Linked DNA regions of Caenorhabditis elegans. The protein of the gene in region 1 purifies or fractionates together with the protein of each later gene. This does not show direct contact. Each region holds a gene or a part of one and is shown on either strand. Other genes may lie near its edges.

Evidence for each region. The genes of interacting proteins can lie anywhere in the genome.
Region 2: the proteins of pdha-1 (region 1) and vit-5 purify together in Caenorhabditis elegans (affinity purification with mass spectrometry, with the first as the bait; one large-scale study listed by BioGRID). This does not show direct contact.

The regions. Positions count from the first base shown.
Region 1 is NC_003280.10:8,064,297-8,068,310, forward strand, and holds pdha-1 (Pyruvate dehydrogenase E1 component subunit alpha), read left to right. Parts: upstream 1-1,990; 5' UTR 1,991-2,003; coding exon 2,004-2,017; intron 2,018-2,148; coding exon 2,149-2,718; intron 2,719-2,797; coding exon 2,798-3,374; intron 3,375-3,425; coding exon 3,426-3,509; downstream 3,510-4,014. Other genes in the region: Ubiquitin conjugation factor E4 ufd-2, read left to right, coding at 1-808, 857-1,211, 1,264-1,647; gpcp-2 (Putative glycerophosphocholine phosphodiesterase GPCPD1 homolog 2), read right to left, coding at 3,937-3,999. UniProt on the Caenorhabditis elegans protein: The pyruvate dehydrogenase complex catalyzes the overall conversion of pyruvate to acetyl-CoA and CO(2).
Region 2 is NC_003284.9:3,401,820-3,409,154, reverse strand, and holds vit-5 (Vitellogenin-5), read right to left. Parts: upstream 5,685-7,335; 5' UTR 5,675-5,684; coding exon 4,811-5,674; intron 4,741-4,810; coding exon 4,456-4,740; intron 4,409-4,455; coding exon 1,371-4,408; intron 1,322-1,370; coding exon 1,093-1,321; intron 1,048-1,092; coding exon 912-1,047; intron 860-911; coding exon 600-859; 3' UTR 552-599; downstream 1-551. Other genes in the region: unc-78 (Actin-interacting protein 1), read left to right, coding at 1-182, 230-336; C04F6.9 (Gag-pol polyprotein), read right to left, coding at 6,545-6,610, 6,776-6,847, 7,085-7,144. UniProt on the Caenorhabditis elegans protein: Precursor of the egg-yolk proteins that are sources of nutrients during embryonic development. Together with other vitellogenins, may play a role in modulating life-span, acting via induction of autophagy and lysosomal lipolysis.

The sequences.
Region 1 (4,014 bases):
ACTCTCGACACCTTAAGGAGCTCAAGCATAAGATCAATGCGCTCAAAGAAAAACTAAATACTGTGTCAGGATTCGAGAGAGCTGAGGTGGAAAAGAAGTTGAACTATGAGACTGAACACTGGAAGCTCATGTCTCGTCATCTTTTATGTGTTAAGACACAAGCTCAAGATCCTGCATTAATGGCATCTTCTATGGATTTTGTCGATAAGCAGATGAAATTCATTTTGAATTTGCTTTGTGATAACTTGGATTTGCTCGGAGACGACAGTCAACTTCCAACTGAAGTATCACAAATGTTTTGTGCGCTCCCAGAATATTTTCTAGAGGATGCTCTCGATTTTTACATATTCGCTATTTCCAATGGAATGAAACTGCTCATGGAGAGAAATGCGGATTGGATTTCCCGTCTGACGGTCCTTTTCACACAATATCACTACATCAAAAGCCCATTTCTCGTTTCCAAACTGGTGAGAGTGCTGTCTTCTATTCAACCTCCATTATGGTTCAACGTGGTCAGACTTCGAATGGCACAAGAAAATTTATTGATGTGCATGATAAAGTTCTACTCGGATTTCGAAGACAATGGTGACTTTTATGAAAAGTTTAACGTTCGTGGAAATATCCAGTACATGTTGGAAAAAATGGAGGAAGATATGTTCTACAAAGGAAAGTTTATGGACATGGCAAGAGAATGCGGAGCAGAGTTCATTCGGTTTGTCAATATGGTGATTAACGATGCAACATGGTGTATAGATGAGAGCTTGTCTGGTTTGAAGAGTATCCATGATGTTGAGAAAAAGATGGCGAAGTAAGACTATTTCGAATGATAACTTAAAAATATAAATTTTATTTTCAGCAAAGTCGAATGGGACAACACAGATCAAGAAATCCGTAATCAGGATCTCGGCGTGTACGAGGAGGCAAAACGTAAAGTGAAGGGATGGCTTGGAACAGCCAAAAGTAATCTTAAATTGCTACTATCGATTACCGTAAACTCACCCGAACCTTTCCGTACTCCGGTTCTCGGCGAAAGACTTGCTGCAATGTTGAATCACAATTTATCGCAACTCATTGGTAGCAAGGCCTCCGAGTTGAAAGTCAAGGATCCAAGAAGTTATGGATGGGAACCACGGGAGTTTGTATCGTTGCTGATCTCAATCTATTTAAAGCTGAATATGCCTGCATTTGTTAAATACATAGCATACGACGAGGTTGGTTAACACATTTGTTTATTCAAAGAGATTTATTTTAATTATTTTTCAGCGTACCTACAGTCCTGAATTCTTCCATAATGCGATTGAATGCATGAGAAAGAATAGTATTGTTGGATTCAGTCAACTCGAAAGTTTCGAACATTTGGCCGAAGATGTTAAAAAAGAGTATGAGGCAAAAGCTGAGCTTGAAGAAGAGTATGATGATGTACCAGAAGAGTTCAAGGATCCTATTATGGATGCAATTATGGTTGATCCTGTCAAATTGCCATCAGGACACGTGATGGATCGTGCAGTCATCGAGAGGCATCTTCTCAGTACACCCAATAATCCGTTTAATCGTGCTCCCTTGTCGCACAATGAGCTTTCTCCCGATTCTGAGTTGAAGGCAAAGATTCAGGAATGGATTTGCCAGAAAAGAAATTCAAAGAAATAATTTTCTATCATATTCTATTGTTACCCAATTTTGTATTTATTGTACTTGACCATTGCACATGTGCAAAATGTCTGTAAATTTCACGCGTTCCTTTCATTTTATAAGTTTTTCTGGTCTCTCAATGGTCTAATCTTTCGGTTTCGGTTTCATTTTCTGCATGGATTCCTTAAAGTTGGTATTCTTGCCCTCTTTCATCAAACCTAAAAAACACGAGTAGTGCCTTGAATGTGAATAAATTTATACTAATTTACTTATTTTCTAAATTTTGGCTTCTATTGCGGTCTCCGATCCGCATACTTATATTTTTATTCTTTGTGAATTTCTTCACATATTCTGATTTTAGCCTTGAACCTGGAATGACTAAATTTCTGTAGGTTTATAACGAACGGTGTCGTATTGTTTTGTGATTTGTTACATGTCAATAACTTATAATATTTATACGTTCCCAGTCATCCCAAATCCGATTAATTTTTATTTTTGAAATATATTTACTGCTTTCAGTAGCTTGGTACATCTGGAACGTATTTGGTCGACGGCAATGTCTTTATTCGCGAGACAACTTCAATCCTTGACTGCCAGTGGAATCCGCACACAGCAAGTTCGTCTTGCGAGCACGGAAGTATCATTCCACACAAAGCCATGCAAACTTCATAAACTTGACAATGGACCAAACACCTCTGTCACCTTGAACAGAGAAGATGCTCTCAAGTACTACCGTGACATGCAGGTCATTCGTCGCATGGAGTCTGCTGCTGGAAACTTGTACAAGGAGAAGAAAATCCGCGGTTTCTGTCATCTCTACTCTGGTCAAGAAGCTTGTGCCGTCGGAATGAAGGCTGCAATGACAGAAGGAGATGCCGTCATCACTGCTTACCGTTGTCACGGATGGACCTGGCTTCTTGGAGCTACCGTAACCGAGGTTCTTGCTGAATTGACCGGTAGAGTTGCCGGAAATGTTCACGGAAAAGGAGGATCCATGCATATGTACACAAAGAATTTCTATGGAGGAAACGGAATTGTTGGAGCACAACAGCCACTTGGAGCTGGAGTTGCATTGGCCATGAAATACCGGTATGTTAACAAATTTTGATGTATTTTTTTACGAGAACAACTCATATTTTTTCATCTAAATATTTTATTTTATTTTCAGTGAACAAAAGAATGTATGTGTTACTTTGTATGGTGATGGTGCCGCTAATCAAGGACAACTTTTCGAGGCGACTAACATGGCTAAACTTTGGGATCTTCCTGTTCTGTTCGTTTGCGAAAACAATGGATTCGGAATGGGAACTACTGCTGAACGTTCATCTGCTTCTACCGAGTATTATACTAGAGGAGACTATGTTCCTGGAATCTGGGTTGATGGTATGGACATTCTCGCTGTTCGCGAGGCTACCAAGTGGGCTAAGGAATATTGTGACAGTGGTAAAGGACCACTTATGATGGAAATGGCCACCTATAGATACCATGGACACTCTATGTCTGACCCAGGAACCAGCTACCGTACCCGTGAAGAGATTCAAGAAGTTCGTAAAACAAGAGACCCAATTACTGGATTCAAGGACCGTATCATTACATCTTCATTGGCCACAGAGGAAGAACTTAAGGCTATTGACAAGGAAGTTCGCAAAGAGGTCGATGAAGCGTTGAAGATTGCTACATCAGACGGTGTTCTCCCACCAGAAGCTCTCTACGCCGATATTTATCACAACACCCCAGCTCAAGAGGTAAGTAATAACATTCATTATTTTTTCGTCAATTATTGTTCACATTTTCAGATTCGCGGAGCCACTATTGATGAAACTATCGTCCAGCCATTCAAAACTTCTGCTGATGTACTGAAGTCTATTGGAAGAGCTTAAACGACACGAATTTTCTATGCAACATTGACTGGCAAAAATTTATAATAATTCTTACGAAATTAAGTTTTTAGTGCTTTTATATAGTTTCGGTGACTGTTTTCTTCCGATGAGTTCATTTCTAGTTTCTAGTTGTTCACTTTTCTTCTCGATTTTCAATTGCATAAATCACATTTTCTCACCGTTAATCATTCATGGTCAAACTTTAAAACTAGTGGAAATTGAGAAGTTTTTAAAAAACCCCTTTAAATTTTCCGTCCACTTATTTCAATGTTACTTCAGGTATAAAAAAGGTCCAAGAAAAGCAATAAAATTACGTTCATAATAGAAAAATGAAATGAATGAAAATGCACACTAAACTTAGGATGATATTTTAAGAGATGCAAATAAAATTAATAATATCACGAAAAGGAAAATTTGTATGACATGGCTACTTAGTAGAGACCATGGGAGCCGATTGGAAACCAGTAATGTTCAATTTGTCAGATAAGTGCTGAAAGAAAATAAC
Region 2 (7,335 bases), on another chromosome or scaffold:
CCCGTACTCTGTTGCGAACAACTTCGAGCTAGCTCACACAAACTCCTGGACTTTCCATACCGCCAAGGTTGCATGTGTTTCCTGGTCACCGGACAATGTCCGTTTGGCGACCGGTTCCTTGGATAACAGCGTTATTGTATGGAACATGAACAAACCATCTGATCATCCGATCATCATTAAAGGTAAATATTTCTCTATTAATTTAACACATTTAACAACATTTTTATAGGTGCTCATGCTATGTCGTCTGTCAATTCGGTAATTTGGCTCAACGAAACTACAATTGTGTCGGCCGGACAAGATTCGAATATCAAGTTCTGGAATGTACCTTTTTAAGTCGAGAAGCTTTTTGATTGCCCTCTAAGTATCCTTAAAATTATATTGATTTTCATAATTATCACTAATTTTCGTGTTTACTGCAAGCACTATCATCTCCTTCGAAGCCTTAAATACACGCGTAAATAAAAACTATTGGTGCAAAGCTGTGTTTCGATTGACATCCTTACAACATGTGTATTTGTTTTCTAGAAGTGATGAGAAAAAAAATCATTCTAGTGAAAATGCTTTATTTAATAGAAAATTAATAAAACATATGAAATCTAATAGGCAACGCAGGCGGTTGGGATCTTGACAGACTCAACGAAGGAGACTGGGAAATCGACCAACTCGGCAACAGTTTGCTCACGAGCTTCCTTCAAGAAACGACGAGCGTTCTTGCTGTGGCGTGGCATGCAAGTGAAACGGATCTTCTTGTTGGAAGTCTTCTCGGATTCGAGTCCACGGCGGCACTCAGAGACTGGCTCGATGGAGAAGCAGACGCGGTTGGAGAACTCCTTGATGAGGGTCTTCTTGACGAGTTCTGAAAAATATGTATTTTGTTAAAACTACACATCATTCAGCCTTAGACTAACCCTTCTCAGTTTCCTTCTCATCGTAGTTGCTCTCGTAGTCGGAGCTGCTCTCGTAGTCGGACTTCTTCTCTTCTCTGTTCCATTTGTTTCTGTAGTTCTTCTTCTCGGAGATGCGGTCGTTCTCAACTTCGCATTCCTGAAAATGAAATTTACATTCAGTTCATTGAAAAAATCTGATTACCTCATTCTTGAGAAGGTAAGACCGGTGGAATTCCTCAACATCCTCAGTTTCGTAGTTGTCAGCGGTCATGAACTCATTGTCTCTCTCACCGTCATTGTTTCCGCAAAGTCCGCAAAGTTGGTTTTGTGAAGCAACGGATGGCATGTTGGTCTTGACAGTGTATCCATCGAAACGAACCTCTCCTTGTGGAAGACGAATAACAATAAGGTTATCTCCAAGAATTTCGATACTGAAAAACGAGATTAGAAAAATTCATGTGATTTAGAGTTAAAGCTTACTTGTATTGTTCAAGTTCAGTTGGGTTAACCTTCTTTCCGTCAACCTTGACAAGGAACTTATCGTCAGACTTCTTCACAACAATTTCTTCCTCACGGCGGACAACCTTAACGAGAAGCTCCTCAGAGTTCTTGTTGATCTTCTTGGCAAGAACAGCGAATCTTGGCTGTTCAGAGCAATCCTTGGCAACAAGAGAGTAGCAGGTGGTGAGTGGAGCGCGGTAGATCACGTTGTCAAAGGTAGAAACCTCAGATTGGTCAACCTTGCAGGTGGCTCCGGTCTTTTCCCAGGTTTGTTGGAACATGGCACTACGAGCAATAGTTGGGAGAACGACGCGTGGAATACGAACATTCTTCAACTCAACTTCTTGTTCTGGAGTCTGGATGGTCATGTTCATGTATTGGCGGGAAAGTGGCTCAACAGAAAGTTGAAGAACAACGCGGCGATTCTCGTTTTGGACACGCTTCTCAGAAACAGTCCAGAAGTTGTATGCCTTGATAAGGTCGAAAATGCGGGAGAAAGTGTATTCAGACTGTGGGGTGAGCTTGTACTCAGAGACAACATTGACTTGGTTAAGACGAGCAGCCTTGATCAAAAGTTCGTACTCTGGAATTCCCTTGTACTCACGCTCGATGTTGCGGATGAACTTCTTTTGTTCCGTGGATTGTTCGAGTTGAGCATTGACTGTGATCTCGCTCTTCTTTGATGATCCCCACTTGGCATTGAATGCGAGTTGAACCTCACGGTGTGGTTGCTCACGGAGTTGACGGAGGGATGATGGCATTTGTGGGCGGGCAGCAAGAAGCTCAGTACGAAGAGTCCATTCTTTGTTCTCGTGCTCCATTGGAGAGCGGCGAGCATCCATCTCAACCTTGCACATACGGATCCATTTGTCACAGACGGTACGAAGTTCAGTGTTCCAGTACATTTGTTGTGGGGCTTCAAGCTTGAGGGTGATGAGGTTCTTGAATCCTTGCTCAGATTGAATCTCACGGATCATCTTGTGGAAGTATTGGCGGCGGTTCTCAGATTCGTTGTTCTCAAGGTCGAATTCTTTTTCGAAGATCTTGTCGAACTTGATCTCGGAAAGATCAGTCTTCTCGAGGTTTCCAATAGTGACGCGAGCTGTGAACTCAACTGGACGGTTTTTGTTTTCAAGAGTGTACTCGAAATCTTGTTCAGTCATCAAAACCATTGGAAGAGTCCATTGGGAAAGAACATTTCCTTGGGCATTGATTCTGAGTCCAAAGGTCTCATATTGACGATCAATCTCTTCAGTAGACATTTGGTATTGTGAGTGGGAAATAGTCTTCTCTTCAGCCTCAACATATTCAGAGTCTTGGTTCTTTGGAACACGGATGAAAGCAACTGGGCGGGTATGAACGGAAACAGTGGTCTTCTTGTTCTCTGGGACAACAAACTTGTGAGTGATTTCGAGAGTGTTCTTCTTCAATTCAACAGTTGATTCGAATCTCAATGGAGTGTGGAGACGAGCAGATTGAAGTGACTTGACTCCTTGTTCAATGACTGGATACCAGAAGCGCATCTCAGTGACGTGGGTGGTGGCAACAGTTGGAACGATATCAAGAACAAGACGAGCTCCAAGCTTCTCGAGCTCAATTGAAACCTTTCCGTTGATAGAGAGGATAGTTGGCATCTTTCCAGAAATGGTGAGTGGCATTCCAATGGTTGTTGGAATTCTGCGTTCAGCCTCGTAGAAGAAGAGAGCACGGTGAAGCTCGAACTTGGAGTCGTTGGTCAAGAAAGTGAGGAGGGATTTGATGTCAAACTCTCCGTTTCTGACATACTTCTCAACAAGAGTGTCAATAGTTTCCATGTCAATTGGAAGAACGATGTAGTCCATCTCCTTGTAGCGAAGGTAGAAAACAGCGTGAGCATTTTGAGAATCGGTTTGTTGGACACGTGGACGGATGTTCATCTTCTTGACAATCTCTTGAAGCATTTGGATTCCAGATTGGACACGACGGGAACGGAGTTCATCAGATTGCTTTCCGTAAAGAGAAAGTTTTTCGAGGGTCTTGAGGATGACTTGCTCAAAGTTCTGTTGAGAGAATCCAACTTGAGCGAAGTATTTGTTCCAGTTTCCTCCGAAGACGGTTTCGAATGATGCTTGAACTTCCTTTGGCAAGAAAGCGTTCTTCTCGAAAATGGTGGCGAAGTCGAATTGAACTCCGGAGAGCCACTCAGAGTTGAAAAGTGGAAGTTGGGAGTAGGTGGAGAGCATCTGTTCTTGTGGTTGATAACGGGTGAAGAGAAGGATCTTAGAGCAACGAACAGCCAATTGTTGGTAGCATGGGTTGGTGGATTTGTAGAATTGGCGGAGGACGTTGTAGGTGAAGGCAGCAACGTGTTGGTTGGATTCGTTTTCCATTTGGGAAACGATGTGAGCAAGAACTGGTTCTTCTGGAATGGTGTGCATCATTCTCCAAAGAGCAGCCATACGGAGCTCTGGCTTGTTTTGGCGGTTCTTGTAGACTGGAAGGAGAACCTTCTGGATCTTGCGTGGCATAACGTCCTTGAGAAGACGAAGAGCATCTACAGCCTCAGTGCGGATGGAAAGTGGTTGACGTGGATCTTGGATAATCTGGACAAGCTCATAGACGGAGAGGTCGATTCCGGCGTTTCCAAGGGTCTTAAGAGCAAGAACCTTCTCGTATGTGGAGTCAGCGTTACGGAAGTGTTGCATGAAGACGCGAACGTACTTTTCCTTGGTTTGTCTAGATGCTGGGCGGATCAATGGAAGGTCTTGGGTCTTTGAAGCAAATCCACGAACAACAGATCCTGCGGCGAGCCAGGCAGATTGGCGGAGTGGTTCGTACTTCTCAGAGAGTGGCGATTGGGCGAGTTGGATAAGAAGATCAGCAATGTGCTCACTTGGGTAAAGAGTTTCTTGAACAGATTTAAGAAGCTCAGCAGCTCTCAATGGTGTGATGCTCTTCTTCTCGAAGTGATGAATCAAGTGTTGAATGGTGTTCTTGGTTCCAGCGACAGCCAATGTGGTTTCAATGACAAGTTGAACCTAAGAGAGAGCATGATATTAGTGATTATGAAATGTGTATTGGTTACCTTCTTCTCGGCCTTAGTGTAGATGGTGGTGTGAACCTTCTTGAGTTCTTCGATGGTGCACATGCGGAACATGCGGACGGCGCGGGCAATAAGGTGGACAGTTTCTGGGGTGTTCTGCTCGTGCTCTTGAATTTGGCGGAAGATTTCTTGAAGTTGCTCAACCTTCTGCTCCATCTCGATAGCCTTGAATGGGTTGACCTCAGCCTTGTCTCCTTGTTGGTAGAATTGCTCAATAAGCTTCTCGTTTTCCATGGAGTAGACGATCTCCTCCTTTGGTCCAGAAACCTGAAAACTTGTGTGCTGCTGTTAGAGTTAGCTATCAAAAGCCCGTAAAATATATTTTCAAATAGAATACCTTCTTGATCTCTCTGTTGATCTTGCTCTCCTCGACGAAAGTGACCTTGGCGCGAGTCTCAGACTTGACGACCTCTTGTCCATTGACATTCAAAGTGTAAACGGAATGAACCTCAGATTCTTGCAATTTCTCGTTCTTGAAGGTGTAGGTGTAGACAGTTTGTGGCTTAACAAATTGCCCCTCCTTCTCGCATTCCTTGCACTCAGATCCAAAACGAAGACCATAAGCAGTCTCTGGGCGAGTGATGCATTTGTCGAAGTTGACAGATTTGGTGTAGATGGTCTTCTCTCCCTCTTGAACAATGGTGTAAGCGACTTCGCAGTCTCCTTCCATGGTCTTTTCATGAACATTGAAGAAAAGAGAATCCTTGTCGGATTCCATATCTTTCTGATCTTGGTTCATCTCATCAACTGGAGCTGACTTGCGGAGAGAGAAGAGATTGAGAATCGATCTTTTGGCGTTCTTGGACCACTCGGCATCTTCGGAAGAGAATTGGATCTCAGAAATAAGTCCATTTCTGATTTGAGCACGGAATGGAAGCTCAAGAAGCTCCTTGAACTCATCGGAAAGCTCACGTTGCTCCAAAGATTCGATCTTTGGCCATTGCTCAGATTGTGGAATGTGGGAAGCAGAGTATTGAATATCAGTCAATTGAAGATGAATGTAACGATCATCAACAGCTTGAAGACGGGTACGGCAAGAAATCAGGGTTTGGGAAGCATCGGAAGATGCGGTTGGGAGTCCAGAGAGAAGAAGTCCGTCAAATTTGTAGACGTATTCGCTCTTTGGAGAGAAGGTACGGTCAAGAGCCGGTGAGGCGGCAATCGCCAAGGCGACAAGAGAGGCAATGATTATCGACTTCATTGCGAGAGTGACTATGGCTTCTCCGTTACCCTTTTTATAGATGCAACTGAAATTGACACTATTCCTTCAAATCATCCTATCTTAACAGATTTATTCGATAAAGTCAATGTCAATCTGAACTTTTACCGCATTATCAGTTGAAACTGAAGTGCGCATGTCGTTCAGGTAGCGATCAGAGTACAGCTGTCACTCTTCTAATTCAACGTGCATATCGTGGTCGACGTATATGTGACCGTTATAAGTTTTTCTGAATGATTGCTTGAATGAAGTTAAAAATTTTTCTGTAGTTTAAGGATACATAACTATGTAGAGAGAAACCAATGATTGTGTTGAAATAAAAAGTTCAATTCAAAAATAGTATCAAAGGCTCTAAATAAAGACTTTGATAACTAAACAAAGCCAGAGTATTTGAAGTTACATATGTCCCCAGTAGACAGTTTTGCAAATGTCCCAATTTTAGTACCTTTTAAAAACTTTCACCTATAATTTTTTCCCTGTATGCTTACCTTCTAATTTTTCAACCATTTTAATCAAATGACTTACTAGGCTCATTGCAATTCTTCTTAAATTGTGCAAACTTTGATGCAGTTTTGATGTTAAGGAAACTTTTGACAAAAATGTATTTGAAAAGTGATTGTTTTCATTCACAAAAAGGACAACTTCCACAAGTTTTTTTAACCTAATTTTGAATTTTCCAAAACATGGCCAGGACGAAATAAGGCGTTCATGTTTGCGTTTATATTAAGAAAAAATAACCACATGACAGCTTTATAAAATTGAAATAAATATTGTCGTGAAAGAAATCATTGGAAAACGGGATATTAAAATATCAGGCACGTTGACATTGTATTAAATGAGGTTCATTTGAATTTACTTGCAATTCTCAACAAAACCATTTTCTTCTCCAAAGGCCGCCGCGAGTTCAACCATAACATCCTGAAAGTTTACTGATTTACTGGGAAAAAAAATTTAATAAACATTTATATTTTTGCTTTTGAATTTTTGAGTTCCCCACATATGAACAATTGGCAATTCGTCAAAAAAAATCTGAAGGAGTATCTTCATAGGTATCACTGTTTTTAATTTTTGAATAGAACCTACGTATGCATCTTTTTCCTCGACGGTCACCATTTCCGTAGTATCGATGCTGGAAGTCTTGTTGATTTTGAGATTCTGAAAAAATTGATATTTTTCAGATGTAACTGTTGTTTTTAATCCGAATGTTGAGATTCTCGTTTGTACATTAATAATACAATTTTTTTTGACATCCTAATAAAACCGTAGAATTTGGATTGTGGCGAGACCCACTCAATAAAACAGCTTGTGCATTTATCTCAGATGCCAAAAAATTTCAGAATTACGATATTTAATCATGGAAAAGTTGAATCATGTAACATTCTGCGCTATTACCTCGGTTCGTGCTGAGGCTATCGCTCCCGTAGATTTTGCAGCACTGGTTTTCGATTCCATTTTCTGAAAATTTACGGCATGATTAAAAATGAGAATACAAAAATTATTGATCGCTTCTTTCAAAAATCTGGCTGTGGTCGCATAAAATTAGTACAAAAAACTAAGGAAAGAAGGGAAAGGAAAGGACACCCATTGTGGGATGTGCAAATGACTCAGTCGTCCACGAGAAAAATTGTGTTCGTCGAGACCCA